4 linked regions of the Bombyx mori genome follow. The protein of the gene in region 1 interacts with the protein of each later gene in a pairwise test. Links are inferred from orthologs where the notes say so. Each region holds a gene or a part of one and is shown in the gene's direction. Other genes may lie near its edges.

Evidence for each region.
Region 2: the proteins of DENN domain-containing protein 1A (region 1) and ras-related protein Rab-35 interact in a two-hybrid assay, tested with the Caenorhabditis elegans proteins (2 studies listed by BioGRID). The link is inferred for Bombyx mori from reciprocal best matches to the Caenorhabditis elegans genes rme-4 and rab-35.
Region 3: the proteins of DENN domain-containing protein 1A (region 1) and DRK interact in a two-hybrid assay, tested with the Caenorhabditis elegans proteins (3 studies listed by BioGRID). The link is inferred for Bombyx mori from reciprocal best matches to the Caenorhabditis elegans genes rme-4 and sem-5.
Region 4: the proteins of DENN domain-containing protein 1A (region 1) and intersectin-1 interact in a two-hybrid assay, tested with the Caenorhabditis elegans proteins (2 studies listed by BioGRID). The link is inferred for Bombyx mori from reciprocal best matches to the Caenorhabditis elegans genes rme-4 and itsn-1.

What each region holds. Positions count from the first base shown.
Region 1 is NC_085107.1:6,839,832-6,847,568, reverse strand, and holds part of DENN domain-containing protein 1A, read left to right. Parts: intron 1-2,815; coding exon 2,816-3,073; intron 3,074-3,331; coding exon 3,332-3,433; intron 3,434-4,485; coding exon 4,486-4,598; intron 4,599-4,901; coding exon 4,902-5,010; intron 5,011-5,167; coding exon 5,168-5,356; intron 5,357-7,737.
Region 2 is NC_085122.1:8,795,739-8,804,275, forward strand, and holds the start of ras-related protein Rab-35, read left to right. Parts: upstream 1-3,207; intron 3,208-3,381; coding exon of another isoform or gene 3,382-3,641; intron 3,642-4,004; coding exon of another isoform or gene 4,005-4,104; intron 4,105-4,653; exon of another isoform or gene 4,654-4,895; 5' UTR 4,896-5,199; intron 5,200-5,396; coding exon of another isoform or gene 5,397-5,553; intron 5,554-5,631; coding exon of another isoform or gene 5,632-5,689; exon of another isoform or gene 5,690-5,805; intron 5,806-5,897; exon of another isoform or gene 5,898-6,809; intron 6,810-7,158; exon of another isoform or gene 7,159-8,537.
Region 3 is NC_085123.1:5,828,196-5,836,703, reverse strand, and holds the start of DRK (DRK protein), read left to right. Parts: upstream 1-3,218; coding exon 3,219-3,296; intron 3,297-3,374; coding exon 3,375-3,472; intron 3,473-4,855; coding exon 4,856-4,975; intron 4,976-8,508. Other genes in the region: RpSA (small ribosomal subunit protein uS2), read right to left, coding at 479-712, 899-997.
Region 4 is NC_085117.1:632,977-641,370, reverse strand, and holds the start of intersectin-1, read left to right. Parts: upstream 1-3,998; 5' UTR 3,999-4,133; intron 4,134-5,072; 5' UTR 5,073-5,099; coding exon 5,100-5,222; intron 5,223-5,995; coding exon 5,996-6,094; intron 6,095-6,636; coding exon 6,637-6,715; intron 6,716-8,394. Other genes in the region: MIP18 family protein galla-2, read right to left, coding at 2,307-2,494, 3,325-3,601.

The sequences.
Region 1 (7,737 bases):
ATCTTGCGATTTAGTTCAAACGATTCACAATACAGATACAATGTCTAAAGACGACACACAATAGCTAATAGAACCTCAGTTCATTCATTCGCATGTATCTAAATATAACCAATCAGGTCAAGGTGGTTGCATTTTACAGAGGACTCCAATAACAACCTTGCGATCTATTTATTAAACTGGCAAATAGGAGGCGGGCTACGAAACAGTCGTTTTGCATTCAAGCGTGCGTTATTTATGCGTACGCTTCAGTATATTCTTGTTACATACGTAATGGAGACTGAAACGATTACATACATTTTTGGGCCCGAATGTAACGTGATGAAACTAATATGAATTAATAGATTCAGATTTATCAGTACTTTGCTGAAAATTATAAACGTTTTCTCAATCTGAGAGCCGAGTTAATAAAGATTTAGTAAAAGTTAGGTTATGTTACAATCTCTTTAAAAGAGCTGAATAATAACTTATTTAAGCATAAGTAAATGTTTATTATATCCATTAGATAATCTTTTAAATGTCATATTATGAATGAATATCAATGATATATATCAGGTATGTAATATGGAATTGCTATCCCACAATTCACACAGCGATCCATAATTTCAACAGTATCCAATGCAACAATTTCAAGTCAAACGTGTGAGCGATCTTCGGTGTCCAGTATAGAAGCAATTGTCGTACAAGGCTGGCAGAGTTGGAATCCGTAATAATAAAGCAGTGATCGTTGAAAATATAAAAACAGCCCGATAGATACACACTCAAAATGCGTCGAAGATACAAAACGAGTAGAGCAGAAAAAACCAACAAGCGCCAAAAAATAATTGTATAATCTATGAACAAACGTCATGTCAGCTTACTGTCAAAGCTGTCATCAAAAATACAATCGATTTTAATCGATTTGAAATCGATAATCATATTACTTTGCTAAGTAATAATAGACTTTTTCTTCATTTATGTATATAATCGCAATTAAATCCGGCGCATACCGCACTTGTATACAACAAGTATAAATCGCTCATTTAATTACTTTGCATTAATTACCTAGTGCAATGTTTTTATTTTTAGAATCCTGTAATCGATTAATTAAATCGATCACACCGTTATACCGACAAAAACTAACTTTCTCATTTTTCTCCGGTCCCAGAAAGAGGATTGAGGTGATTTTTTATATTCTTATATAAAAAAATATGACAAATTTTTTAGACTACATTCCAAGTTATTACATTTTTGGCCCACGATTTTCCGTCTCCTTTGACGGTTAGTCAATAAATAATGAGTTACACAGTACCATACTTTAACTTTACATAGTACAAGTGCACGAATTAGTGCAAACAACAATGAGAACGTACAAATTTAATGGAGGTTTTTGCTGGTTAAAGAAGCTCTCAGGAATCTATACTATTTAAGGTCTATACAGATAAATGACATTAAACTTTCAATTGACAACATAAACATAAAATTGACACGTCATCATTATTTTAGGCAAATAAATATGTGAGATAGTAGTTCGTATCAATTGAAGCGTTTAGAAATAATAACGATAATTTATTATCTGCACTCTCGGTCCATCCTAAGCGGTGTGGGCATCACTCGTATGCTCCCAGTATTATAATATGTATTATTTTAATTATCCTGTCCGAGAATGTTATAAAAAAATGTATCAGCTAAATATTGATTAACTGGTAGTCTCATAGTGGCTATCTCGCGATCAGTGTAAATTGTCTTTTAAAGATTGCAGTAACGTACATACATCATGCGTCTAATTTTTTTATTTGGCTTAATTCATTAATCCAAAACTGTGATGGTTTCCAAAATACTATTTATATATTTTAATATAGGTGTCCCGCTGTTTGTCAATAATCTTTTTACGCTAAAGGATCTGAGTATTTACTATCTATAATACGTTTGTGTAATAATTTTGCTTTCATGAGCCCAGGAAGACTGTCCGTAATTTCGATACCACAAATATTTTATCATCCATTGTGTCGAAATCCTAAGTAATTAACCCTCAGACACAGCCTACTGAATTTCTCGCCGAATCTTCTCAGTGGGTCGCGTTTCCGATCCGGTGGTAGATTCTGCGAAGCACGGCTCTTGCTAGGGTTCGTGTTAGCAACGTCGTCAGGTTTGAGTCCCGTGAGCTCACCTACTAGTTAAGCGGATTCAGTTTAGGTAGGGAAAAAAAAAGTATTGCAATATTCTAAGGTAATTAGTTTTAGATCCTACAAGGAACACATTACATCTTTTTTATTGTGCGGGAAGCGGAATTAATATACTATAAAACAAGTAAATAAAATTAGTCGTCGAAGTCACTACTTTAATATTTACGTGACAACCCTAAACTTATCTTTATCACAAAAAGACTTGAATAAGTCCAATAGTTCTATAGATAAAAAGATAACTTTCCAAATATTAGTTTAAAAACACTTAATTATTCAATATATTGTTATGCTTAATAATGGGATGTTTTTAGTGAATAATTTAATGTGTTCGAGTTAATAGTTAATAAAATGAATAAAATTTATTATTTACACAGATATTAATTCAACTAGGGCATTTTTCTCGCTATGCTAATTTTAAGCTTATAACAATTATGCATGTACATACCTTATTAGGCTATATCTAATATTCATTGTTTTCATTTTTAAAACGAACCTAAATACTATAAACCTATAAACTATAGTTTAAGTAAAATTCCAGTATTAAAGCGGATTTTTTTCTGGTGCCCAGGAGCGGCATTAAGTTTAAATCTGGCCCTGCGTACAGGCTTTATGCCTTTCTACCATCGTCTTATCGTCTTGATCTCATCTTTCAGTGCAACCTAACAGAATACTTCAGTGCGGTCGATACAAAATGCATGGCGGGTCTGTGGGCAGCATTGTTACACGAACGTCGAGTGGCCATCGTAGCATCGAAACCATCGCGTCTGTCGGCTTGTGTCCAAGCGGCTAACGCGACTCTGTTCCCGATGTCATGGCAACATATTTTCATTCCAATATTACCGAAGCATTTGGTCGATTACATGCTGGCGCCGATGCCATTTCTGATTGGAGTTCCTAGAAGCGTTATGGAGGTAAATAATGTATTTATAGTGTTGCCCAAATAAAATTTTACTGCTTTTTTAATCGAACGTTTTGGCAAAGGCTTCGTCAATTAAATCCCTCAAAGAAATTTTCGTTGGAAATGTTAAGTTTTCAAATATTGCTGTAAAGTTTTTATGAGATTTGGGCCGTATAATTCATATATTTTTAAATATTATATTTATTGTGGGATAGAGAAAAATATAACTGCGATCGTCATGTATTCTTATTATTTTTTAATTTTGTTTCAGAATGTTAGGATGTCTGAGATAGGTGACGTTGTGATTTTAGATGTAGACGCGAATGAGCTTAGATCTCCTTTCAACGACTTGGAGACTCTTCCCCCTGAGTTGGTAAGTAATTTCCGTGCGATATTGTTTACACTAAACGTACAATAAAGATTTTTCTTGAGCATGTAAGTCTCGTCTTCTGAACAATATAAACAAAACGTAAGCGCTCTGTATTAAATGTATACCTGTGCAATAGTTTTTTGGTTTGCACTTCCAGTGATTAGTTATACATCGCGTTAAGAGAGATGTTGCTTTATGTTTGCCCCCCAAAAGATGAAGTGTGTTTGATTTGTTCAATTAATGTCTATGATGAAGAGACGACGGCACCCCTAGTTTTACGGAAGAATCATTACTCAAAGACAATGATAAAAGATCAACATAAAACAAAATGAAAATCCATTACGCCGGCTCCACACATTGGCCCTAGCATGGGCCCCAACGTCACTCGCCTAACGTGTGGAGCTAGAAAATAGCATTGGCTCCAACGTTCGAGCGATCGTCGGTAGTTGGCCGTCGAGTGTCGGTTTAATCAAAGGAATCTGTGCCAACGTTCGGGATCCGTCCACATGTTGGCGCTTTGCTCAGTCCTGTTGCAACATGCGTCGACTGTGCATGTCGCGATGTCATCCACCATCTCCTTTGTCGTGGCTCTTTCTTTTTTTTTAATAACAAATATTAATTATAATATGCACTCAGTACTGTGAAAGCGCTTAGAGCAATTTCAATTCCGGTATCGCACATCTTCACGTAGGCTCTGACGGAAAGGACCTAGTATAACAGCCAACGTGTGGACACTTCACCAAATTAACCGCTTAATGTTGGTAACAACGTTGGGGCCAATGTGTGGAGTCGGTGTTAGCATATTCGTTTTTTTTAATCATAGTTAATAAACAATAAAAATTAAAAATGCCTATTTTAGTAGCTCATGTAGCTCTAATCGTTTATTTTAAGATTTAAAATTTGTGACATTATCACAAAATGCAATTCGAACAAAAGTCTTAGGTATCATTAAATTTCATTGTTGCCCGTATGTGCCATTTTATAGGCAAAATAGATTTTCTAACTAAATAAACGGCTTAGAGGATAGTGGATAAAATTTATGTGTTTATTTTCAGATTTCGAGTTTAAAGAAGGCTTTGAGCGACAAAAACGCTCTTGGAGATGCTGTTTCAAGAGCATTTTTACGCGCCCTTGTCTGTTTAATCGGCGGGTACCGCGATGCGATCAAGTTAGTGATTTGAGTATTATTAATTCGCTTTTAAACATACCAAAGTTTGTATATTAAAAAATAATCTTGTAGTGCTTTTGTGTTGAAAAAAAAAATTTTTTTATTATGTAAAACCAACTTTACATAATCACTGATTATCAAGAACCTTTTAAATAAGATTGGTAATATCTATAATTTACACACAAAATGCTTTACTGGTAATGTAGAACAAATCCGTTTAATTATGGGTAAATTGGCTGTAAATATGAACGCGCATTTGACATTGTGATGATCATCAGAATGCATAATATATATTTTTTCTAGAATTGAAAATGGTCAACTGATTACATTCAATCCAGAAGCTTTTGTGAAAACGAGGAAAAACATGCAGCCATTCCTTAGAAAAATACTACAATCCCAAATATTCCAACAGGTAAGTTCGCATTGATACATATTGTAGCAAAAAAACAATTAAGCCCCTATTTTCAAGAACGTTACAAATACACTACCTATTAAATAACACCATAAAATTCATAAAATATCGCCCAAAAAAAAACACTAAAAAGAAATATGTATATCTTATTCGTCAGTTTATAGACGAAAGATTGGATTTGCTCAATTCCGGACGGGGTTTCAACGATGAGTTCGAAGTAGAATGCAACGCGTACGCGGATAAATTGAACACGGGTAGTGGTCAGAAACTAAAGCAACAGTACAGAGATTGGGCCAAGACGGTCAAGAAAGAAGGTGGAGCTTTCTTCAAAACCGTCAAAGATAAGGTACTGTTCAATATGTTTATGGTGCAATGACGTCACTATTTGTCATTTTGTCGCCTAATACGGGCTGAGAAACAACAAGATTTTATGTTAGTGCTTTGGGATTGATTTTCGTTTAACTAATCGCATATTTAAAATAAACATACCAGAGTGTTGTTTTTGTTAATTTTAATTAAAATGGTAAAGGTTGCATGTAGTTATAATGTTGTCCATAAATGTTAATTAACGCTATTAATAAAAATAATTTATGCTAATAATTTGCAATAATGGACGAAGTTATCATGATGAATAACTACCGGAAATAATGTAGTAAATTATGGGGCGGTCAACGTTTATCGAGCATGTCCGGGAGAGTATCGTTCCCGTTTTAGTAATGACTCGTACTTGTATAGATATAACTTACTAGCCTCAGCTTAGCATTCGGGACTCTAACCTCTACGTCATCGCGTCATTCAGTCATTGTTCCGCTAGTTCTGTAAATGCACGATTTGACAGATTATAGACCACAGAGATAGATCCTACACGACGCGATTATTCTTGCACGCGATTCTCACTCTACAACCCTAACCACTGGTGTTTTGAGTCATAGACTCGGACGCCATATTGTGATACAAATAAGGCTATTTTCTGTATGTGTTTAATAAAGTTATATAAAAAAACGCGCATTATATAATTTAAAAGAATAATCTAAGATAAAAAGTTAAAAGAATCTCTAAGACAAAAAAATTAAATTACTTTTCAAATAAAAAGGGGTTAAACTCTAGTCTAGATAAACTATTAAATTTTCGTTCAGATTATTATCTGTTCAATGAGATGAATAACACAAATAGATACGGATGTATAAAATTACAATATTCCCACATGAAAATGTTAATTAACGTCAGTAGATAACACGAAATGTTATGTTCTTTATCGCATCATTTATGTTGTTTATAAATGAATCTGTTATTCCGTAACGAATAAATGATAAACGTTACATTAAAAACCCACTACTTCAATTACGTTGATTATGAATATAAGATTTGTATTATTTATTTGAATGTATATATTATGTTTAAGAGTATTTAATTTTCTATACATGTTAAAAATTGAATATCATAATATATACATCTACACTAATATATAAATCTACAGTGGTTTTTACGGATGTTCCGTTATAGCTACTGAACCGTGCATCCGATTGACTTGAAACTTGGTATCATGTAGAAAATACGAGGGCGGCACTGAAAATTTCGGGAATTAACGAAGTGACACAACGTTACTATTTAAAAATGTATTTATTGCTTTTCGAAGTATTCTCCGCGAAATTTGACACATTTTTCCATACGATGAAACCAATCATTGAAGCAACCATTCCATTCGGAAGTTGGGGTCTCCAAAATGGCCGTTTTGTAGGCGTCCACAGCTTCTTCAGGTGATGAAAATTTCTGTCCACGCAATTTATTCTTTATTTTAGGGAAAGTATAGAAATCATTAGGGCTTAGGTCGGGGCTGTACGGCGGATGGTCTAATAATTCTATGTTTTCTTGCTCTAAAAACTCTTTTGTTCTGTGCGCGGTGTGAAAACTCGCATTGTCGTGATGGAGGATGATGCGGCGGTTGCAGTTCTCTTTACGGAGTTCAGAAACGACCTGTGGCAAAGAAATGCTAGCATACCATTCTGCATTAACCGTTCTTTGTCCCTCAAGAGGAATAGTCGTAACATGGCCTGTTTTGGAGACAAACGTGGCCACCATTTTTTTACAACACTCCGTGAACGAACAGTTTTTGTTGGCTTTAACTCATTTTCGAACACCCAAACTCGTGACTGTTTTTTTGTTTCGGGTTCGTACGCGTATATCCAGGATTCGTCACCTGATACAATGTTGTATACAGCATTTGAGGATCCTGCGTGGAATCTTTCGAGAGTTCTGACGCACTAAGTAACGCGAGCCGCTTTTTGCTCTTCACAGAGCGAATGCGGTATCCATCGGGAAAACAACTTTTTTACACCTAATTGTTCATGCAAGATTATTTGTATTTAACTCATGCCAATGTCTAAAGTTGCCTGAATTTCGCGGTATGTCACATGTCGATCTTCCTCAATCAGCTTACGCACAGCATCAACGTTTTCTTGGGTGACTGCAGTTTTTGGACGACCTTGACGGGGATCATCACTGAGCTTGACACGTCCACGTTGAAACTCAGCAAACCAGCGATAAATTGTGGTTTTGGATGGGGCTTCATCACCAAATGCAGAAATCATCCGGTCAACACACTGTTTTTGTGGTAAACCACTTCGAAATTCATAATAAATCATCGCTCTTGAATTTTCTCGAGTCAATTCCATTTTCTTAACGACTAAACAAGTTTGACAAAACCTCGTGACAAGACCGAGAATCTTT
Region 2 (8,537 bases), on another chromosome or scaffold:
CTGTTTTGAATTCTCTTTAGACATAACTTGGCTCCAATACTTTTTTCTTCGTTAGCGTTTCGTAAGCCTGTGTAACTATTTTCATTTCTTACAGAATGTTTATTATTAAAAATCAGCATGCCTCGAAGATCGAAAATGAAATGCTATTTCGGATGCCTTGATAACGGTGAGTTTACACTATTTTCCCGGTATATTATTTGCTAACAGAATTATTATTCATAATATAATTAAATGAATTAGCACCAACTAATGGTCCTTCCTATTTCTGCTGCCTAGCTATCATATATGTTAAGTTTTGATCAAAACAGTCGGTATTAAGTCTCGTACTATCACACACACACCTCAGATAATAAAATTGTCTCGAGTGGGTGGAAGTATTTATGTTTTGCAACTCAGCGTATTATATGCTTATTGTCAAGTGGGCCCGAACTAGTTTTTTGGAATGATCAATCAGTCATGCTTTCCTGTTTAAATAAAATACAGCACAATTGATCTCACATCCAAAGTTAGATGATGGCATTCACGTTTTGTTTCCTGGTGTTTGATAACTAAGTTACACCAAGTGGCCTGTGACCACGTTCATCCTTCTACCCAATATAAAATAATGTTTTTATTTTTGTAGACAAAGGTTTGATAATGACAAAATTTTATGGAAAAATTATAAGGAGCACTAAAATGTCTGAAACATGAAAAGATTGATGCACTATATTTGAACCAGAACGTGTTATGTAATATATTAATTTGTAAGTAAGATTACATTAACACTAAATTTTTCATGGTCGTATTTTTTCAATATTTGTTACATACTTAAGATACTTTGTTTCTCCGTTTCAGAAGAGAAACTGATTCAGCAAGGAACGTGAACTCTCAAGGGATCTTAATTTTTTTTAAATATGTTTATAATTGATAAATTAATAATTGAAATAGTTCATAAGAACTAAATTGATGCCAATTTTGTTTTAAAATAGGTTGTTTAGTTCTTATAGTTATAGTATTACGTTTGAATAGTTGTAATTAGTAAGTTAGTAATATATGAAAATACTGATATAAATTTTTGTAAATAACCTTTTGTAAATTCTACGAGAAGATGATTTTAATTAATGATCAAAAGTCAACGGTCTTTAAAAGCATTATTTGCAATTATTTAGATTAACTGTGGAATATATTTGCTAAGTTGTGTTTTCTGTATGAGCAGATATAAATGAAAATGCCCAAACATGATTATGTTTCTTACATTTTCATTATGTGAAATCAATATGCTTGTGACTGAGTATATTAATAATTTATTAAAACTTAAGTGATAGACAGCAACCCCTATGGCACTGCTGAAGTTTATAAGCACTGGTGACCACTTATCATGGGCCGGGTTGCGTGCTCGTCTGCTGTTGAGTGCAATAAAAATTTTCGAAACCCTTTCTATTATTTAGATGTAATATTAGTGTACATTTAATTTGGATTAAAAGATAAATTTACATTTTATGTTTGCATGTGTATGTTTATAATTCATTTGCATGTAACGAACACCAGTTTCTTTTGTAACAAAATGTAAACTAATGGTTTGTAATGAATGTAATTAACTTTAAGATGATTTTCTTTCAATCTGCTGTTTGTTTCATCTAGTATTACCAAAGCTAAAGCATCAGAAACGTCAGAATAGAAATAATTTAGATAGGGAATAAAAGTATAACTAATGTAATCATGTCTAAGATTACTATAAGCGTCATTAAGTACAAACTATCAATATTTAAGAGTACTTTAAATCATCATTACATTTTTTAAACATTTTTTGTTTTTCAAATCATGTAATAAAACGTTTGTGCAGATCAAAATGTCACATGTTATGAACATGATTGTGGGTTAATAGTTTCTTAAATTTCTAAATGTTTATAAGAATGCTAAGAATAATTTAGTATTCACTTTAGTGTGTGTATTATCTCTACAATGCTAGTATAAATGACAATTATTGTATGACGAAGCATAGGTAGTGTTTATAGATGTAATATTTTCATACAAGGTCATGATCTGTCACGATCAACTTTAAGCAAGAACTGCTATAGTTAAGAAACAAATTTATTAAATTTAATTCAAATTGTCTACTATGTTTGTAATGGAAAGCTGACATGTTTATATTTCGCACAAATGACTTAAGTGACATTGAATGATTTGATTATCTAGACTTAATTAACTTTTAGATAACTTTCGATTTAATGTTATTAAGTACTCTAGTAGGATTAATCTAGAGGAGTTATTGTTATTCGAAATTTTATACAATTGTACGTTCATACTATCTTTTAACAGTAAATTGTTTGTAATATAGGGAAATTAAATAGCTTACAGAGAATTACAGCTTTTTATTTAAAAAAACTGTTTTCTCTCTGTATGAAAAGGTCTTATCGATTAGAATGCTGAACACAATCAAACGTTCTTTAATATTTCATAAGTACTACCGGGAATTTCAGCGATTCTAAACGATAAGATTTTTTCATAGAGTTAATTATAAAAAATATTAAAATTACTAAAAAAGCCACCTGGTGGGGGGTAGGGAGACTAATAATCGACAGCAGCGACGCCTGCTGTCCCGGGCTCTAACTAAAGCAAAAATAAAAATGAGAGTTGCGCATCTATCTCAAATATATTAAGTGTATAATCTATGCTTAAATGTTATGTGTATTCTATCTATGCTAAGAACACAATATACATTTGGAAGAAGAGTTTCCTATTCTTCTGTGCTTTCATAGATGCTAAACAATTAATAAGCTAACATTAATAAAGAAGAAACAAAATTATTTGGTAGTAAAACCATTTTATTATGCTGTGGCTACATATCGTTGTCGACTTCTTGAAACTACTCGCGCGTCACCTATAGTATGTTGATTGGACTATCAATAGAGTTTCATATATCCTAGGAACGCATAGAGGACAAACATATAAATAGACATTTGCTTTTATTTATTTAACTGATTAAATTATTAATCATTATATGATTAAATTAAATTAATAAATTATAAATTTAAATAACAACAAACATTATTTTTCAGGATTTATGGCGAAAGTCTCTCGATAACCCACCCACCTTCGCCTTCGTGCAATAGTTTTTGATCTGGCACTTCCCCTTTGTATGGTCTTCTGTATTTTATGCGATCATGAAATCTGTCATTATGACCCTGCCAGAATTCAACGGACCTAGGAACTAAGAGGTATCCTCCCCTGGAAAAATTTAACTGTGTTATTTTTTTCATAATAAACCAGTTGATTTAATTTTATTGTAAAATAATGAGATTACATAATGTAATAATGACGACACAATTTAATAAAACATGAACATCGCTGTGTTGAAAGTCTCGATAAAAAAATTTGCTTGTTTAATACTATGAAAATTACCAGTTACTTGGTTTTGGGACTTCTTTCCCAGGTATCAGATATTCTTGCTCAAGAACCTTTTGCCTTTGACATAGGATATCTTTAGAAACTATCGGTGTACTTTGGTAGCTCGTACATGCTGCTATCTGATTGGCCACTGCACGTGTGCGAAAGTATTTTAAATTTTCAGCTTCTGAGAGTTTCTCGACTGTGCCTTCAATCCTCACCGATCTGTTCAGGATATCCCAATAAAACGTAGCAGCAACATTAGGATTCCCTTCCTTAAGAAAATGTAAATCATTATTATGATGTTAATTGGATGGACCTTTAAATTTGAAAACTTTCAAATTTTTATTCGTAGATATTACTCTACTTCCTAGTGTTTTTTCCATATTTCTAGATTTTTAGTGATAAAAATGCATTGTGTTTGTATAATACGAGTATATACTAAATATATTTACTGTAAAGGAAATCTAAAAGGTGCCTTTGTTTGAAGGCGAATCTTTATTTGTCGTTAATACTCTTATTATGGTTATATTCCTTAAAACAATTTCGGTTTAAAAAAAAAATTGAGTTGATTTCAAATAAACAAATCAATAATTATATGGCATAGGGTCCTCTTGAAAAAAATATAAAAGACTTACTATGTCTTTAGCTTTTTTACTTCCATAATTTGTGTAGAATTTGAATCCTTCTTTACCATAACCCTTACACAATACAAATCGGGCTGACGGAAAACCCTCCCTGAAATAATCATTAAAAACCATAACTATCCAGATCCCTAATGCAATGAGTAATTGTTTGGATAAAAAATTGATAAGTCTTAAAACATTACCCTCATATATCTTCATAAAAATCTCTGAATAAGATTAATTCAACAGCATTGATCTCGGCCTAGCTATGTTCTTATGATAACAATAATAGGGGTATTTCCTATGTTTGCTTTTGTATATGGATACGACGCCCGGTGTTAGATATCGATTGATGCGACTATTCTGGGGCTAAATTCTCCCAAGCAGTTTTTTTTATTTTTTGTTTATTGTATATGGGTGGACGAGCTCACAGCACACCTGTTTAGTGGTTACCGGAGCCCATAGACATCTGCAACGTGCATCTAAGGTCTCAGTATAGTTAGAACGGCTGCCCCACCCTTCAAACCGAAACGCATTACTGCTTCACGACAGAAATGGACAGGGCGGTGGTACCTTCCGGTGGGGACTCACAAGAGGACCTACCACCAGTAATTACGCAAATTAAATTAATTTTGTGGGTTTAATTTTTATTACATGATGTTATTCCTTCACCGTGGAAGTCATTCGTAAACATTTGTTAAGTACGTATTTCATTACAAAAATTGGTACCCATCTGCGGGATTCGAACATCGTTGCATCGCTAGATGCGAATGCACCAGACGTTTTAACCTTTGTAGCTACGATGCGACGCCTTTAAAAGATAGCGATATTTCTAAGCAAATAGGTTTGCAATACGTGTTCACGAACTGCCACTTTAATGACATTTAATTGCATCCGAGTCAGGCTCTCAACAATCTGTTACCAGAGGATCCTCAGCTACTTCGGTCATATTTCCCGCCGACAGTCAGTTAACTTGGACAAAGTGATTGTGACGGGCAAAGTAGAAGGAAAGAGACCCCGCGGCCGATTACCTAGCCGTTGGTGTGATCAAGTAACCGCTCTAACTGGGTTGCCAGTCGCAACCGCCATTCGAGCAGCTGAGGACCGGACGAGATGGAAACAGCTCACGAGACAGGCAACGGTCGAGTTTCAGGGACACGACCTTCAGCAATGAAGAAAGCGACGAAGAAGAAAGAAGAAGAAGTGGGTAAAATATTATATTTTGTTTACGTTCAATAAACTTAATTGAGTTCACCGGTATTTTCTATAGAATCTAATTTTTTTTTTTTTCTCAAAAAACTAATGGGGACTCTAAATATTTCCAAGTTTTTGTGCTGGTTAATGTGGCTAGGATATCAACTGTCTTTGTTTACAAAACGCAGTCTAGTTTAAAATGTAACTCACTGTGAAACTGTGGCTAGACACATTGCACTGGGCTCCAGAATCTTTTTCGTAGCGCGAGCTTCTTCAAACCAACATTTGAATTGTCCAAACGGCTCTTTCCATGTCACTGATTTTTCTAGAAACGCCCCATTTTTATAGGTATCGCAATTTCTCATACCTAGCAAAACAAAAAAGATACAGAAAGCATTTTTAACAAAATTGTCATTTGTTTTTTAACTAATATTCGAAAACTTACCACCAATACCAATACTCATAGTGCAAGTGTATGTGACAGCTTTCGGTAAATGAAACATTTTATATTGTATTAACCGTAACGTAAAAACAATTAAATATTTCAAATTTATTATTTGTTGAAACACAATAATCGTTCAAGGTCATCATTATTTTTAGATTATCGATAAATTAACATCTACAAAAAATTTATAAAAGATAAACACAGCTTGTTTGCTCGGCTTAAATTCTATTTAACCGAATTTAATTAGTATATTTTATTTTTATTACCTCATCAAACAGACGGGCATTGGGCCTCCAGATGGGGATCGACATCAGTAATCTCTGTGACTCAAATGATTTGCTGCCTATCTATAATATTCTTGAATAGTTACAGAAAAACTGGCGTCTTATGAGCCCGTAGGGTAATATGTTCCTGTTTTAAGGGTGGGATGGCCGTTGTACTATAGAACTGAGACCTAGAAATCGTGTCTTAAGGTGGGTGGTGGCATTTACATTGTTGATACCTAAGGGCTCCCGTAACCACTTAGCAGGTCGTGATCCGTGATGGTCACCCGACTTAGCAATAAATAAATATTATAATAAGCTTTTACTCTGGTTTCGCCCAAGCACACCCATTACTCATTCGGTATATTTGAAAACTTGCAGCAGTGGCACTCATAGAATAAAACGAAACCTGGCAATAAGCTTGAATCGTGCTAGCGACATTCTCAATATTAATGTATATATTCCGATGGCACATTTGGACCGTCGACGAGCCAAGACACCCGCTCGGTGGAAAATCTTGCTGCTCTCTATCATCACCAGCCCACACTTGTTCACCTCCCAGTTTCTATAACTGAGCACTATTTTCGGCTCTCCTCATCCACTTCCTACCGGTCAGCTTTCGTAAATCATCGCGCTGTCTGGTCAGGAGACGCCACAAGCATTGGGCGTGTGCCACAAAAGCGGTCTCCGCTGAAGAACTCGTTTGTTCTAGTGATATTCGGATCTATGACATATATGTCTAGTCCATTGCCATTTAGCTTGCACTCTATGAGGGTTTATTTTTCTGAAGTAGGTACCTAGCACTGATTTGTATCTGGTTAGGCTGAGGGTATCATGCCGTATCTGTCTAATTGGACGTCGAAATTCAACCTTGTAATAGTCGACGGTCGGTTCCAGTGTAGTACCGGCCGATCACTGAAATAAAACTGAACTTTACTACATAGAATAAAACAATTTCTCTGTCCCTATATCCCTATGTATGCTTAAATCTTTAAAACTACGCAACGGATTTTAACGCGGTTTTCTTTGATAGATAGAGTGATTGAAGAGGAAGGTTTATATGTATAATAATATCCATTAAATAGTGGAGAAATCAACAATAAATTACAGTTTCCGAAGCGAAGCGAGGGCGGGTCGCTAGTATGTAATATTTTGGAAAGGAAACATTTGTCATTTGTTGTCAACAGACAGAGTCATTGTTGGACGGTTATCTTTTGAAGGGATTGGGTTCTGTAGGTGATGAGGGGCTATTTAAAAACACAACTGCTTCATTATAATTATATTGCAGATAGCTTTAACACTTTTACACCATTATACAATTTTTATCTTTATATTTTTTATAAAACTATTACATGTTTTTCATGCCGTGTCTAGATGAGAAGTCACTGACATTTTCTTACGAGAATACAATGATCTGTTTTTTAAAACATTTAAAATAATTCCAATATTCGAAATCTAATCAAGTGTCAAGTGTTGCCTGCCATTACATTTAATATACAAACTCCAACACACCCCCTCAACACTTGCACACATTTTTCTCCGTCTATAATTTAATACCAAAAAAGAATAACGCTAACCTGACCTTCATAAATGAATTACTTTCCATACATACCTTAAAACCTCACAACCACTTACATTCCGTTACTTCCACTTAATCCCTCAATTCAACCAACAACTATTCATTCAACCTTTCAAACTTAATACCATCTTTAATGTCGCTTCCTTTAATCCTTTCTTACTTCTCCAACTCCAATTCGATCAAAAATGTACTTTCATTCAACCATACTACCATTCAACCTTAACCTCCCTCTTACTCATTATATAAAACATTGACTATAAACTCCTTCTCAACTCCCTACATAAACTCTTCAAGTTTATTTCTTTAACTTTAATAACCTTAACTCCTTCTCAACCTCTAACTTTAATAACCTCCTTCTCGACCTCTTTAACCTTTAACTCCTTCTCGACCTCTAACCTTTAACTCCTTCTCGACCTCTAACCTTTAACTCCTTCTCGACTCTAACCTTTAACTCCTACTCGACTCTTTTACCTTTAACTCCTACTCGACTCTTTTACCTTTAACTCCTACTCGACTCTTTTACCTTTAACTCCTACTCGACTCTTTTACCTTTAACTCCTACTCGACTCTTTTACCTTTAACTCCTACTCGACTCTTTTACCTTTAACTCCTACTCGACTCTTTTAACCTTTCAACTCCTTTATCTCCACTCACAAACGACAACATAACATAACAAATAACCTCACACAACTTCAACAAACTCAACATTTCAATTCACATAACACATACAACCTTACATTATTCATATAACCTTCCATTATCTTTTATATTTTTCTCACTTCCTAAATTTTCCCACTTTTTGCACATATTCGTTCAATTATTTTAATATAACACAAAAACAAAATTCCTAACATCTATTATAAAACAACAATAAAACAAAACTATAAAAGAGACTCAAAAGGATTCTAGAAACCGACTGTAAATATGTTTGTATCAAAAATGTGTACTTCCTCCACGGCTAGACTATCTATTGTATTTATAGTATAATTAATAAAAAAATATATTTTTATGATCACCCCCTTAATTGTTTGCGTCTGTTGAAAAAGAGCACCCTCTTAATTTTT
Region 3 (8,508 bases), on another chromosome or scaffold:
AATAATTTAATCATGCTTGCATTAATGCAATCAGTGGTTCCTTAGTTTGTTTGTCATCATAATATAGTAAGTTTATATGTGTTTAATACATGAAAACAGATCAATGTATTGAGAATTAAAATGTGTGCCTAACAGCTTGTACAGTACCTAATCTACTTTAAAAAGGTGGCAATTTACATATCACACAAAAAAAAAAAACGATAATTCACTCTAAAGGCAGCATCTGCCAAGTAACAACCTTACAAAACTACAAAGACCTTAATACATATGTTTTTCTATTTATTAATTTCTAGTTACTTTCAATGTGTCACATTATTTTTTAAGAAATAATTATAAAAATAAATGTATCAATATTATAATTTACTTAATATTCCCATTTGACTCATGAAAACCTAACATACTTGGGTTGTAGATGAAGTACACTCAATAAATAATTAAATGTCATTACATAGTAACAAATAGTTTAATGGTTTATTACCTGGTTAGTAAAAGCACCTGGTGTGAAACGTCCCGCAATAGGCGTAGCACCGGTGTGCGCGGCAAACTTCAGTACAGCACGCTGACCGAAGGGCCGTGATGAGATGACGAACACATCAGCGGGGTTCTCGATGGCTACGACAGCACGAGCAGCCAGAACAAGTTTTTCCCAGGTACGACGCAAGTTGATCACATGGGTACCATCAGCACGTCGTTTGTAGACATAGGTCTCCATCTGTTTTGCAACATTTTCTTCAAATACCACTCATTTAAAGCAGAGCTTATTATTAAGTAATTGAAGCTCAGTTGGGAGAATTAATCGTCATACAATAATCAGAATAAAATGGAACGGATTCTCTTATCATCATGGTTTTGTTAGGTTATGTTTATAACAGATTTGAATATTTTTGTATGTATTTACCTGGAAGTTAACATTTTCTGCCCCAAGATGGGTGGTTGCAGCAAGCATTTTGGTGACATCTTCCTCGTTGAGGGCGAGCACGTCTAATCCTCCCGACATCGTTGCGCTTATTTGAGTTACGACTAAACCTGAAAAATCACCACACGATTAATTGACAATGTTCGTATTCAGTGATCAAATACTGATAATTTACTCTTGTTTATTAAACATACATTTTGATCACACAACACATTAAAAGTTCTATTAAACGATGTAAAAACAATTTTTCGATTTATTACTTACGCGTATAATGCCACTGGGAGGCGAAATGGACTTAAAGAAGTGTCAAATATGTCAATGAAAACTAGTTGTCAAAGTTGTCCTTGGACTAGAATTCAAACAAGCAAAGAAAATAAAGCTTATACTATACACAAAAATCGAAGCCATACCTCTTCAGCAAAAACTAAAGAATTTTGTCTAAATTAGCTTTCCTTCAGATTATGAATAATAATATCATGGATTTTCAAAGGTTATCGTTTAATTGAAATTAATTAATTTGTCGTCTGAATTCTTATTGTAATGTCCATAAAGTTTGATAGTAATAATACACAAAAAAGAAGAGAGGTTGAGGAGGTTAAAAGATAAAATACAACGTGTACGTTTGACGTGTTATGTATCCCAGATAAACGAATTTTTGAAATTATACTTCAATAAATAAAATAATAGTTTACTATTTTAACTTAGTTTTATTTTTACTTTAACGGAAAATAAGTAGAAATGACTTAGCTTGCGATTTTTTGTTTCCCAAATTATGTACATAGTTATCTTTTAAAATCAATTTATTTTAAAGAATGTCAGCTGCGTAATATAACGTTATTATATTTTTAATCAAACTTTTCTAATTTTATTATACATTTTTTTGGTTTTATGTATTTATTTGCTTTCAAATTAAGAAAGGAGAATTAGCAAAATTGTATTTTTGTAAGCAGATTTTTTATTATGAATTTTTCAAAATTAATTTTGCAGTTGTAAATAAAATTAAGTACATGCTATTGCCCTTATTTTTTTGGATAGCAATAAACTGTTTCTGTTTGGCAAAAATATGTTACAATTTACTGATTATAGTCCTCCATTTAAGTGGTAATTATTTCACGTATCGGAACTTTTGTATCATATTAAACTTGATGCCGGCTAGAAAGGCAAAGGCAGTTATTACTAGAATCCAATTGCTAGTTTGAACCTCATGTCATAATTTGGCATTCATGTTTTGATGTCTATGAGCTTCGGTAACCACATCAAACTAGGCGGGCTTTGATCTCGCTCACGCGTTCAAGCAAATAAATAGCAAAAATAAACACAACAGTAACGAAATGTAAAATAGTGATTATTTGTAAGATAATATCGATGAAGTTAAAGAATATTTCATCACAACCACAATATTTAAAAAAAATATGGTGCGTGTACAACTTGGTGCACGTGAAAAAAGGGAAACTTCTTTTGTGGTGTGTAGTATTGTGGTTTTCTTCATTTTTCATCTTTAAATCAAATTTCCCCATTAATAAGGAATGCTATATATAAGATAAACTATCTAGCTCACTTTGTCCTTTCCCTCTCTCCACGGTCGAGTGGTTCATGAGACGCTCTGTCTATTTTCTCACTCTCGGTCTTCCTTAATGAGAAATATGTATATGCTGAAAGTGAAAAAAAATTAGCCAAGTTACCATTCAGGCAATATCATTTTGTGGTCTTTAATGGCAAGTCGTCCTTCGTCCATAGTCGTCCTTCTAGTCTACATTCTGCTGAAAAGTTTAAATTTAGACCTAAGTTTTGATGGCAATTCGTCTCTTAAACTTAGTTGGGGCGTCTGAATCTAAATCTTTTAGTCAATTTCAATATTTTCATAATGAATTAGGTTTTTAAATTCATCTACATGTTTTACGAATCCTTATAGTAGACGATTCTTATAAGTGAGATCCAATTCAAATGTAGAATGAATTTGTTTTTAGTCTTTACAGGTAAAGTTGATGTTATGTTCCTTGCCAGTATCAAAAACACACATGAATGCAAGTAAATTTTCGAGCTAAAAACACAGCTGCAAAGTGGCAACATTTTGATTTTTTTGTCAATTTGTAAAGTGAGTGATGTGTTGAGTACAGACGGATTCCGATTGGGTTTTTCTAAATTTGTAACTAAAACGCATCTTTTTTATTCAACATTGTGAGACAATACGTGCATTATGATTATTTTACTTCCTTGACATTAGACATTTTGGAAAGTTTGTGTACTTTAAGAGTTATTTTTAAGAATTCGGTGACATTTCAGTGAAGTGCCTAATTTGATCATGGAGGCTCTAGCAAAACACGATTTTACTGCAACCGCAGATGATGAGCTCAGTTTTAGAAAAAATCAAGTATTAAAAGTAAGTTAAATATTTATTTAACTTTTTGTTTTGTTTAATACCTAGCGATAGTTCTTTCTAGAATGGTTCCTATTGCAGATTCTAAACATGGAGGACGATATGAACTGGTACAGAGCTGAATTAGACGGGAAAGAAGGGCTCATTCCTAGTAATTACATACAAATGAAAAATCACAGGTAAGTGGGATATCTAATATTTCTAGTCTTAAAATTATAACTGATACTTATAACGATTTTAAAATATTCTTAATTAAAATAACCAGTTTATTTTTGACTTAGGTTTTATTTGTGAAAGCAAGAAGATATTGCTCTTGTGTAGCTATGTAGAGATCTCAGATAAAATTTAGAAAAAGAATGTTTTCATTTCATTCCAAACATTTGCTGAAGAAAACTGATAATGTAAACATTGTTTGTTTATAATTAAACTTGGGCTGGTCTACTCATTTTTATTTACATTTAACTACTATGGTATCCGGAGAGTGTTGCCAAACCTAATCTACAAAGTCATTTCATTATTCTTTAGAAGAAGAACATACAAAATGAATGTTATTTATAGATACACAACAGAAATTTCATGTAACTTACCAGCTGCCACTAAACTAATCAACAAATGTTTGTTTACATTACCAATTGTAATAATAAAAGCCAAAGTGTCTTTAAACATATGAAGTGTATTTTGAAAGGAGAAAACAATATTTGATTTCAAAGTAAATTATAAATTTGGTGTATTTTTTATTACACAATTAAGAATTACGAAAAGTGCTTTTTTTATTTGAGTACTAAACTTTATTTCATGATTCTCAATGAGAAAAGATTTGAATAGATAGAAGGTAGTTATTAAACATATATTAAAGAGAATGGTCTCTTCAACTAGAATCTGATTATACATCAGAAATAAACCTGTTGATTTTGTAAGTGCTAATGCTTTGCCAAGCAATAAAATTAATGTGAAGGCTATGCCTGAAGTGATACAAATGCTCCTTTAATTCATAGTGTTGAGTAGTACTATAATATGAATGCAGAACATACTACCATGACCACCTAATTTGAGATGTGAGATGCAGTATCAATTGCATTGTGATAATAACTGTCCTAAGGTTCAAACCTAAAGGCACAATTGCTGCAAGACAAATATGGTATACAGAGACACACATACAGTGTATGCTTACAGCATACCTGACCACCAAAAACTACTATTAGTAATAATAGTAATAAAAATTCTAAATATTTGTAGAACATTTACTTATTTTTTGTTTATACCTTACTGGTGTATTGTGTGGTGTATATTGTATCAGCTAGACTGGAAGAGAAATCTAAGCACATCCAGTGCATCGACTTAATGAATTGGATGTCAGAATGAGGTCACAAACCACCTTGTGTCAAGTAGTTACAGGAGCTTATAGATATTACGGTGTAAATTCTCACTATCCACCAGTTTTAAGGATTAAAAACTGTCTTGGGACATATTAAAAAAAAACCATAATTTTTAAGTAATTATTAATTTGAAAATAGTAAGTATTTGTATTTTAAAGGTGTGCCTACATAACCTCTCTTTTTCAGTTGGTATTATGGGCGTATTACAAGAGCAGATGCAGAAAAACTCTTAGCAAACAAACCTGAAGGTGGCTTCTTGATAAGGATCAGCGAATCAAGCCCTGGCGACTTCTCCTTATCAGTCAAGTAAGTCCTTTGTATTTTTACATGTAATGTTTATTATTTTTCACAGTAATAATAATCATTATTTATTATTTCTCTTTTAAAGTTATAGTACAAATACAAATAGAGATTAACCTTACAATTTATTTTGTTAGCCTTTGAAAGAACTGCAGTCTGTACTAGGTTCAAAGACCTGTATTACTGATCTCCAGGCTCCCTGCTTCTTAGGATAGATTAGGCTAGGTTAAGTCATGAACAGATGTCGCAGACTAAGTGTTGAGAGATCATTAGGTGTTATCATTTAAGTAGATATCAGTAGTTATCATTCCAACAGAAGACCGTTCATTATTATTATTTAAATAAACAATTTTATCTGGATGGAATGTTTTCTGTATGTTTGCATGTAAATAACTTAGTGTTTCTCTAAATGTTTTATCAATAGAGTCTATTAGTAATAAAATAAAAAGCTCCCTTATGTAATACTTATAAAACTAATATTGTATGTATATAGTATATTACAGCTTATAACTAAGGGAAAATTGTCTTTGTCTTAACAGAAAAATACATTATAGCAATGCTATCTAAAAATATATATTGGAATCACAATAACATTTACATTTTAAGTTCAGGTGAATGACCAGCATTTGCATCCACGGGTCACTGCAGTATAAATAAAGTAAATGAAGAGTAAAAAGAACCATCTATAGTCTTATGCAATTTAACATTGAAAAACCATTATAAGATAAATGTATTTAGGACGTCAGAAAATGTAATGTGTAAATAAATACTTTGTAAATGTAGTTTTAACCATGTGTGCGAATTCTAAAACTGAGTGAATATTAAAACATTTTATCTATTCATGGAAGGTTGGTCATAAGATAGATAGAGAACTTGATAAATTCAGAATTTTTCTTATCTCAATAATAAGAAAAATACACCATCTGAAATACGTACAAATAAATACATTCCATCCTTATCAAATTTTCTAGAATGACTAAACTTTATTTCCTTCTACAGTCAACAATAAAGAAAAAAAACAAACTATGACAAATACAATACTACTCATTTTACTTGTAAAGCTGTAAAATTTACCTCATATTCATCATGTGAACTAGTTCTGTTGAGTTTCTGTAGGCTTCTGTAATCACTTAACACCAGATGGGCCGTGAATCTGTTCACCCATCTGTTCAGCTAAAATAAATTGTTGTTGTAATAAATAATTGTTTTAAAATTATGTCACAGATCCATTTGGATAGACGGCTCTTTCTGTGTTTGTACTGTGTGTGCTATGGAGATGGATATTTATTGTTTATTTGCATGGACGAACTCACAGCCCTCCTAGAGTTAAGTGGTTACCAGAGCCCATAGACATCTACAACGTAAATGCCCCCCCACTCACCTCGAGACAAGAGTTTCTAAGGTCTCAAGTACAGTTACAACGGCTGCCCCACCCTTCAAACCGAAACGCCTCGCTGCTTCACGGCAGAAATTGGTGGGGTGGTGGTATCTACCCGCGCGGGCTCACAAGGGGTTGTACCACCAGTAATTACGCAAATTATAATTTTGCGGGTTTGATTTTTATTACACGATGTTATTCCTTCACCGTGGAAGTCAATCGTGAACATTTGTTGAGTACGTATTTCATTAGAAAACTTGGTACCCGCCTGAGATTCGAACACCGGTGCATCGGTCAACACGAATGCACCGGACGTCTTATCTTTTAGGCCACGACGACTGATAAAATGCTCCTGGCATTGCTGACATCCATGAGTGACGATCTACCTATAAAGTATAAAGTAAATACAATAGCATGTAATCGTTTACAAGTCGCAAATTTCTAAACTCGGCTTTTATATTAATGGAAACTAATTTCGAAAGTAAAAAATCTACGCTAAGTTACGAATTCCTACTTATCTACTACAGCAATGAAAACATTGCAATTTTTCAGGCAGTTTGCCTTTACATCACATTATCTATATATTAATACGTGAAGCAAAAATTTTGTATCCCTTTTTACGAAAATTGCGCTGACGGAGGAGACTGAAATTATCCACACTTATAGAGAATATAGAGAAGAAGTGCACAATGCTAATATTTTTTAAAACTAATGCATAAAAGATACATTAAATCAATAAAGAAAACATTACACACACCACATACCATGTATTTGACGCACACACGCATGCATACTATATTGTCAAACTTTTGTTCTTGACGTCTTTGGTCAAATTTTTTTATTTTTTTTTATTGCTTTTTGATGGATGGACGAGCTCACAGGCCACCTGGTGTTAAGTGGTTACTGGAGCCCATAGACATCTACAACGTAAATGCGCCACCCACCTCGAGATATAAGTTCTAAGATCTCAGTATAGTTACAACGGCTACCCCACCCCTCGAACCGAAACGCATTGCTGCTTCACGGCGGAAATAGGCGGGGTGGTGGTACCTACCCGTGCGGACTCCCAAGAGGTCCTACCACCAGTGATTACGCAAATTATAATTTTGCGGGTTTGATTTTTATTACACGATGTTATTCCTTCACCGTGGAAGTCAATCGTGAACATTTGTTGAGTACGTATTTCATTAGAAAAATTGGTACCCGCCTGCGGGATTCGAACACCGGTGCATCGCTACATACGAATGCACCGGACGTCTTATCCTTTAGGCCACAACGACTTCAAAATTCAAATTGAGAATAGATTAAATATTGTTTGTCTTTATTAATATTTTTTTATAGTGTAGCCTTGGCGAAGTTTATGATTATAGTATGTGTACAAACTTACAATTCCAGTTAATTATAGTCGAATTTCGACTACTGTGGGACCTCTAGTTCCTTTAAATATATGATCACTATTAATTAACGTATATTAATATCTATTCACAAGATGTCATTTTTGAGTAAATTTTGGAGATAAATGTCAAATTTTCAGGCACTATCTACTATCATTTTGTTTGAAACTTACATGTTTTATAAACTTTATTCAATGTTCATTTTATGTTTTTGTATTTGGCCTTACTATACTTAGTCCACGTAAAATGTGTAGTAGTTGCCGAACAAAATTGCTATTAAATGCAGACAGACATGACGAAATAATAAAAGCCACGTTTTTTTTGCCAATTGGCTGCCAAAAAAGTTGTTTCTAATAATGATCAGTGTATCTTCTGATCAAATGGATACATAAATATTTCCAAACAAGTAGTATTAAGAATAATTTTGCACACCTGTATCGGTGGCGGTACATACCGTTTACAATTTCACACCCACGATACGTTATTGCATCAACACGTGCTGAAGCTGCCTCGAAATTGTTTAGATTTCGTCTGGAAATTTAGTTTAGAGAACTGAATCAATCCATGTATTTAGTCTATTATTGTACATCAGTTTATACATCAGCGCAGGACCGGTCTTTGTGGCGAGGCTTGGGGAGGCCTATGTCCATCAGTGGACGTCCATGGGCTGATAAGAAGAAGTTTAATCCTTACTGAAAAAGAACTTGTAATTTCTTTTGTCGAACTTTTCTCATGCAATATTGCAATAAATATTTCTAAGAAATACG
Region 4 (8,394 bases), on another chromosome or scaffold:
TAGTGCGAGTCTATTAAAGTTCTCGATAGCGTAAAAGTTGGCCCAATTTTGTATGCATTTGGAACAGCGCCCCACATAGCGGCAAACATAGGCAAACGATCCCATTCCATACAAATATGAGTTAACTTTTACGCTATCGAGAACGTTAAAAAACTCGCACTAAGCACACAGACATATTGCTTGGTTAGTAAGGAACGCCGAGATACACGACGACCTGGACCTCGTAACGATTCGAAAACATGAAGTCAGCGTCGGAACTGCACTTCGATGAAGCTATGCGTCATGTTAATCGCCCAATCGTGACCGCCGCTGACTGCTTCCCGAATGCTGATTATGCAGGAGCCAGTCACCGTCGACGCCCTAGACGCGTCCTTACGGATCCATCAGATCCAATAACCCTTGCATTAGACGCCTTTAGCTCTAACATTAGCAGCAGGTTTAGGGGCTCTGGTAACTGCGCAACCTAATCCATATCCATACACCAGCCCAGCTGAGTTTCTCGCTGTATATTTTGAGCGGGTCGCGATTCCGATCCGGTAGTAGATGCATTCGCGGAGCAGCTGCTCTTGAGTTGTTAGGTCTCCTTCGGAGGCGCTCGGGCAACTTTTTATTAATTTATTGCTTAGGTGGGTGTACGAGTTCACGGCCCACCTGGTGTTAAGTGGTTACCGGAGCGGTAAATGTCGCCACCTATCTTGAGATATAAGTTCTAAGGTCTCAAGTATAGTTACAACGGCTGCCCCACCCTTCAAACTGAAACGCATTACAGCTGCACGGCAGAAATAGGCAGGGTGGTGGTGCCTACCCGCGCGGACTCACAAGAGGTCCTAACACCAGTATTGTTCGTAATTGTTCACATAAAGTATAGGCCAAAATTATCCGAAATAACATACTATACTATAACCCTAGTCATTGGGCACGATCGAAATTTTATTCCTGAACGCGCAGGTGTCACCTGACGTCAGTCATTCTCGCGCCGATTTAGCATTTAAAATAAAAATAATATCTTCGTATACATAATATTAATATAATTAGTATCGTCTAGTCCAGGGGTTCTCAAACATATTTTGTCTACAGTACACTTTGAGAATAAATTATTTTTTAGCGCCCCCGTTTTTTCACCTACTTAACCACTATAGAAAGACCTCGGTCGTTGTCTAAGTCCTCCAAGACGAAATTACAAATCGCTTCCCAAGCCTCTACACAACGCCCCCATTTTTTTTCTGGGTCTCTTACCATCCTTTATGCCTACAGCGACAAGCGGGCGTTATCGCCCACTTTGAGAAAGGCTGATCTAGTTCCTAGCTTAGTTTTCTCAGTTTTCTTGTTAAAATCCGAATACCACAAAAATATAAGTGTTTATAAAATAAGAGTTTGACTTTTTGAGTGCAAATTTCCCGCGAATACGAGCAGTAAATAACAAACCACATACATAATTTATTTATTTATTAACTATACAAAATATTTTTACATAAATTCACTAAAAATATACATTTTTTTTTCTATGATTATTTAGGCTATCAACTTTTATTATCCAGTAGACAGATATCAGAGCACATTGAAAACATAGTGTATATTATCATTATTCATGGAACACAAGGTCTAAATATTAATGGTGGTAGGACAAAAAAAAAAAAAAAACACAATTGCAAGTCTAGATCACTATATTTTTCTGACGTCAAGCAGTAATGAATTTCACTTTCATGATTTCCCTGGGCTCTAGTGACAGATTAAATACCATTGCCGGCAAGTTTGACCCATATGAGCAATAAATAAATATAAAATAGAAAGCCTTTTATTTCCTGCTAAAATACAAAATAAATAGGTATTTAATGTTTATTTATCTCTTATTGCCTAGATGTGTGGACGAGCTCACAGCCCACCTGGTGTTAAGTGGTTACTGGAACATCTACAATGTAAATGCGCCACACACCTTCAGATATAAGTTCTAAGATCTCAGTATAGTTACAACGGCTGCCCCACCTTTCAAACCGAAACGCATTACTGCTTCACGGCAGAAATAGGCGGGGCGGTGGTACCCACCCGCGCGGACTCACAAGAGGTCCTACAGGAACCCATTAAGCATTCAAGTATTTATAAGCAATAATAAATAATATAAGCTGTCTCCTTCAAAACAGGTACCAGCAAGTGACCAATGAAGTCATAGGCATCATATTTTAAGATCGATAATTGAATGATACGTCTATAACCTCAAATGTATATGCAAGTGAATCAGATGCCGTACCAGCATTCTTTGGACCAAAGCCACTGATAATCTGGCTTACAAATAAATTTATCCCTATCAATTAAACAGCTATGCATTGATTGATGATTTGCAGTAGATTATTGTTCTCTAAAGCTGCAGCAACTCTTTCCTTGTCCGCTAACTGTTTGTTGACCGCATGTTCGGAAGCGTGAGAGCCCTCCGATACTTGTACGGTCACTTTGAAACGGCTTGGCAGAGCTCGGAGTAGTTGAACTCGTATTGAAAGACCTGAAATAAAAATCAAATCTCATTAATTAAGCTTGCAGTACTTTTTTCCGGAAGCTTCACAACTTTAATTAGAACTATAACAGAACAGATTATCTACAAAAGTGTTTAACTGCACTAGGGGAATGAACAAGCTCACAGCTCTCATAGTTTATAGCCATTACAGATGTCCGTGGACATCACATTGGGACAACTGCCACCCATCTTGAGTCCTGAACTCGAAGTTTGAGCAACTCGAAGTTTGAGCCCTATTTTAAAATTACTCTCTCTTAAGCAAAAACAATAATGGTTCAAATTGGGAATAGGCTAGACAGTAGTGACTATTCCGTGGACAAAATATCAGACTAACGCATCCATATTAAAACAGCTCAATATCCAAAGGCTTTCTATCGTCTGCTTCAGGAAGATATTTGAGTTCTTCGATCATATTGGCCGAAAGAGAGGTGACAATTTTGAAATATAACTGGCGAGATCTTTTCAACTGCCTAAGATGAGAGATGAGAGATAAGAGTTTACGGTAACCCATTATCAATCCATTGAAAATGGTCAGCGGTAGACTGCACTTTAGTTGCACCCCTGAAATTGCTACCTTCCATGAGGGACTGTAGCTACTCCCCACCAAGCGGGCTGTATGATCGTCTACCCACGCAATTAAAAAAAGGAAGCTGTTCGTTGGCTGGGCATGAATGTTTATTTGCTTGCCAATAAAAAAACATTAGTATGATAATATTAATTTAGAAATATTGGCTGTTCCACCATTATCGGTGTGCGTTGGTTATGTGTGTGTTACTCTCTCATTAACTATAGGTTTTAATGCTAAAAAAAGTACGTACCTATCAGAGTCGCCATACTGCAATGGGGAATTGTCGGTGTAAAATTGACTAATACAGTACTATCATCGTTATTAACGATTATATTCTTCTCTTCCACCACCCTGAGCTCCTCGAGTGTCAATGGGTGTTCAGGATCATTTATATTTCGTATTAAATCAAATATTTCGCGATCATCAAATTCATCTTGCAAGTCTTCGTCGCGTTCCGAAGAAGTGATCTCCCGTTCTGAACCCTTCTCGTAAATGTGAGGGTTGATGTTATCCGCTGTTTTGGTCATTTTATAAGTTCGAACTTTTTATTATATCAATTCGTTCTACTCAAAATATATTTTTTGGTACAATTTTTCCTTATTATGAAAGGCAAGGGGATCTAAGCCCATACAGCCTTTCTACTCAAAATAATAACTCACTTCTATCTCTATCTCTTTTTTTTAGGAATTTTATGACATGGTAACTAAGATCTTTAAGTCATATCTTATTTTAGTTTATATTCTTAATTTTATGAAAAATGACAGACGCTGCTAATGTAATTCATATCTACTTACACAGAATAATAATGGCCAACATAGACAGTTTCCTTCGTTTTTTATTATTTATAAACGGCAAAATAATTAATAATTGACACTGGCTAATGCACAAACCGAGCGAGCCACAATAAAAAAATTAACTGTCAAAAACCAAATTTCGATTTTGACAGTTGCACCCAATCAAAAAATCAATACTTTATCTAGAACTTTGAGGGGTTTTACTCGATCCTTTTTCAGGAGGATCAGTCTTAAATCTATTCTCTTAGGTCAAACAACAGTTAAAGTAAGTAATACATTATGTAATTCCCTAGAATTTAATTCCTAAATATTTGTTTTAGTTCGCAGACACACCCCCTGCCTGTTGGTACCAAAAGAGTAGTAGTACTTATTATTAATTTATTGAACAACGTTGATTTTAACAAAAAAATGTATTGAATATTAGTGCTTAAGGTATCTTTAAACTTTATCCGGGTCACGGAGTTATAAAACAACGAGCTAGCAATATTAAAAAATTAAGAACATTATCTTGAACTGCTCTACCAATTGTAGTATTCTAATACTTATTGTATGTTGAGTTACTTATTGTATGTGACACACGTCTGTACGTCGAGCAAATATTTTAAATAGAACTTAGGTACATCTTTAATAGATTTAGAGAAGTGATAAAATATAGGAAAAATTTAGAAGTCTACTTTTCACTTGATTAATCAAGGCTTTTTCGTACTTTATCATGACCTACCATATTGGAGACATTCTATTCATACAATTTGGCTAAAGACACCGCTCCTGATTGTCGGGAAAAAGTTAACAAAAACATGTTGCAATGTCTATTGTTTAAAATCAAACAAATTTTTTTAATAGTACAACATAAACCTTAAACCGTGATATGCATTTCTTTTTTTAAATTTGATAAACCAAGATATGCAGAAACATGCTCATAATAAGATATTATCTGATGGTTTATCTAGTTCAATATTATAACTTAATATAGATATATTCACCTGTTCTAATATTAACTTCCCAAAGGAAGCATTGTTTGATTTCCAAAGACAACATTAAATATACAATGCCAAATTAAAATATTCTCAAAATTACTGCATTAATGTCAATCAAAATGTTGAAAATTAAACAATGAAAAAGGATTAGGATTTTTCTATGATTATAAATTTAGGCTTCCTGTAATGAAGACTGCATACATACTAAGAGGTATATCTTTTTTTAGGTTCAAAGAAACGTCTTTAATTCAGAAATGATGGCGGACCCGTGGACTATACAAGCACATGAGCATGCGAAGTTCTCGGAGCACTTTAGAAACCTTGGACCTGTCAATGGAAATTTGACGGGCGAACAAGCTAAAAGATTCATGTTACAGGTCAGTTAATTTGCGTATTTATTATAAATCTAGAACTTTTTTTTTTTATTGTCCTTGTAGGCAGATGGGCATACGGCCCACCTGATGGTGAGTGGTTACCGTCGCCCATGGACTTCAGCAATGCCAGGGGCAGAGCCAAGCCGCTGCCCTACTGCTGCCTAAAGTTAACTCAAATTTGTATGGATATGGAACAGCGCCCCTAGCGACCAACGTAGGCAAACGTTCCAACTCCAAACAATTTTTTTTTTTCATATTTATTTCGTTTCATATAAATTTGAGTTAACTTTTACGCGATCGAGAACGTTAAAACACTCGCACTAAACACACGAGATGGAATAAAGAGTAAATTAGGCTACTTCTATTTTAGAGAAATTCTAAAATTATTTTTACACGCTGGGGTTCGGGATAAATAAAATTTCCACAAATACAACCACAGTACAAATTAAACACCTAAAATACTTCGTAATTCGCTTTTTCCGCTTCGCTTCAGGTGATCCGTTCGCTGTTTCGCTTCGAGTAGTTCCGATTTCTGGCAAGTCGAGTCGTGTGGATATCTGTTTCCGTTATCTGACAATAGATGGCGTTGTACTTCCCGAGCGTTCTCGAGTTTACTAGTTCCTTTGATATTCACTTCTGCCATTCGACAACAGATGGCGTTGCTCTTATCGGCGTAACATTATTATAGAATAAAGTAATATTTTTTTAATTCCACGCAGACGAATTCGCGGGCACAGCTAGTTTAAAATAAGTTTTGTTTGTCTTTCTGTTCACAGTCTCAGCTTCCTCCACCGGTCTTGGGACAAATATGGTCACTGGCGGACACGAACGCCGACGGTAAGCTGGATTTGAAGGAGTTCTCTATAGCTTGCAAGGTGAGTTTCTGTGTAGTCTTCATAATTTGCGAATGTGCCAACGTCCGTATCCGGTTGAAAAATCGCTCATTAAAAATAACGATGTTAGGATATCGATATTTCCAAAAGTGAAACATCGATATAAAAAACATCGGTTCTTATGGACTATATATACATATATTTATTATATAGAAGCTTTTTTTAAATTTTTGCAAATAAAGTAACCTTTTTTTCGATCATAATCGATGTTCTATCGTACACAGACATAGGACGCCACCTTATGTTCTATCCGTGATCTTTTTTTTATTGCTTAGATGAGTGGACAATCTCACAGCCCACCTGGTGTTAAATGGTTACTGGAGCTCATAGGACATCTATAACGTAAATTCCACCACAAACCTTGAGATATGAGTTCTAAGGTCTCAGTATAGTTACAACGGCTGCGCCAACCTTCAATGCGAAACGCATTACTGCTTCACGGCGGAAATAGGTAGGGTGGTGGTGCCTACCCGTGCGGACTCACAAGACATCCTACCACCAGTAAAATTGTGTGTTCATTACAGATTATAAACTTGAAACTGCGCGGCTTAGAGGTGCCGAAGATGCTTCCACCATCTCTGATCGCCTCTTTAAGCCCCACAGGTGAGTCTCAAGTCTCGTTCGCCCGGTGGAATGTGACCGGGATCCCGGTGGGATAATCACGGGTATTTATGTAATGATACGGAATATTCCAGAATTAATGAACAATAAAATACTTAATTACTTTTCCTGTAATAATACTAAGAAATATTAATACGTGAAGCAAAAACTTTACCCCTTTTTTTACGAAAATCACGCGGACGGAGGAGTTTTCAAACTACCCACACTTATAGAGAATAAAGAGAAGGAGTGCAGAATGTTAATATTTTTTTTCTAAATTATGCATAAAAATACACTAAATCAATAAATAAAACATTACACACACTTTGACAATACAACTTTGACAACACATATTATTGTCAAACTTTTGTTTATTGTTTAAAGTCTGTGGTCTAATTGAGAATAGATTAATATTGTTTTTCTTTAATGTTATTTGTCTATAGTGTAGTCTTGGCGAAGTCTGTGATTAGAAGTATAATAAATAGTCTTTGACAATAGAACCGTAGTAATGTTCAAACTTATAATTTTAATCAATTATTGTCGAATTTCGACTACTGCGGGACCACTAGTAAAAGACTAAAGTAACTAAACTAAAGTAAAATTAAAGTAACTTTTTTAAACTTAAAGAGTTTAAAAAAAGTTTTAAGTAATAAAAGCTTTCCTTTCCATCGAGCTATAGGCCTATCGCGATAACTTCCTTGCTTTCCAAGGTGATGGAGCGAATAATAAATATACAACTCCTGAAGTATCTTGAAGATCGCCAGCTGATCAGTGACCGACAGTACGGTTTCCGTCACGGTCGCTCAGCTGGCGATCTTCTCGTATACCTTACTCACAGGTGGGCTGAAGCCTTGGAGAGCAAGGGCGAGGCTCTTGCTGTGAGCCTTGATATCGCGAAGGCCTTCGACAGGGTCTGGCATAGGGCACTTCTGTCGAAGCTACCATCTTACGGAATCCCCGAGGGTCTCTGCAAGTGGATCGCTAGCTTTTTGGATGGGCGGAGCATCATGGTCGTTGTAGACGGTGACTGCTCTGATACCATGACCATTAACGCTGGCGTTCCACAAGGTTCGGTGCTCTCCCCCACGCTTTTCATCCTGTATATCAATGACATGCTGTCTATTGATGGCATGCATTGCTATGCGGATGACAGCACGGGGGATGCGCGATATATCGGCCATCAGAGTCTCTCTCGGAGCGCGGTGCAAGAGAGACGATCTAAACTTGTGTCTGAAGTGGAGAACTCTCTGAGGCGAGTCTCCGAATGGGGTGAATTGAACTTGGTTCAATTCAACCCGATAAAGACACAAGTTTGCGCGTTCACTGCGAAGAAGGACCCCTTTGTCATGGCGCCGCAATTCCAAGGAGTATCCCTGCAACCTTCCGAGAGTATTGGGATACTTGGGGTCGAGATTTCGAGCGATGTCCAGTTTCGGAGTCATCTGGAAGGCAAAGCCAAGTTGGCGTCCAAAATGCTGGGAGTCCTCAACAGAGCGAAGCGGTACTTCACGCCTGGACAAAGGCTTTTGCTTTATAAAGCACAAGTCCGGCCTCGCGTGGAGTACTGCTCCCATCTCTGGGCCGGGGCTCCCAAATACCAGCTTCTTCCATTTGACTCCATACAGAGGAGGGCCGTTCGGATTGTCGATAATCCCATTCTCACGGATCGTTTGGAGCCTCTG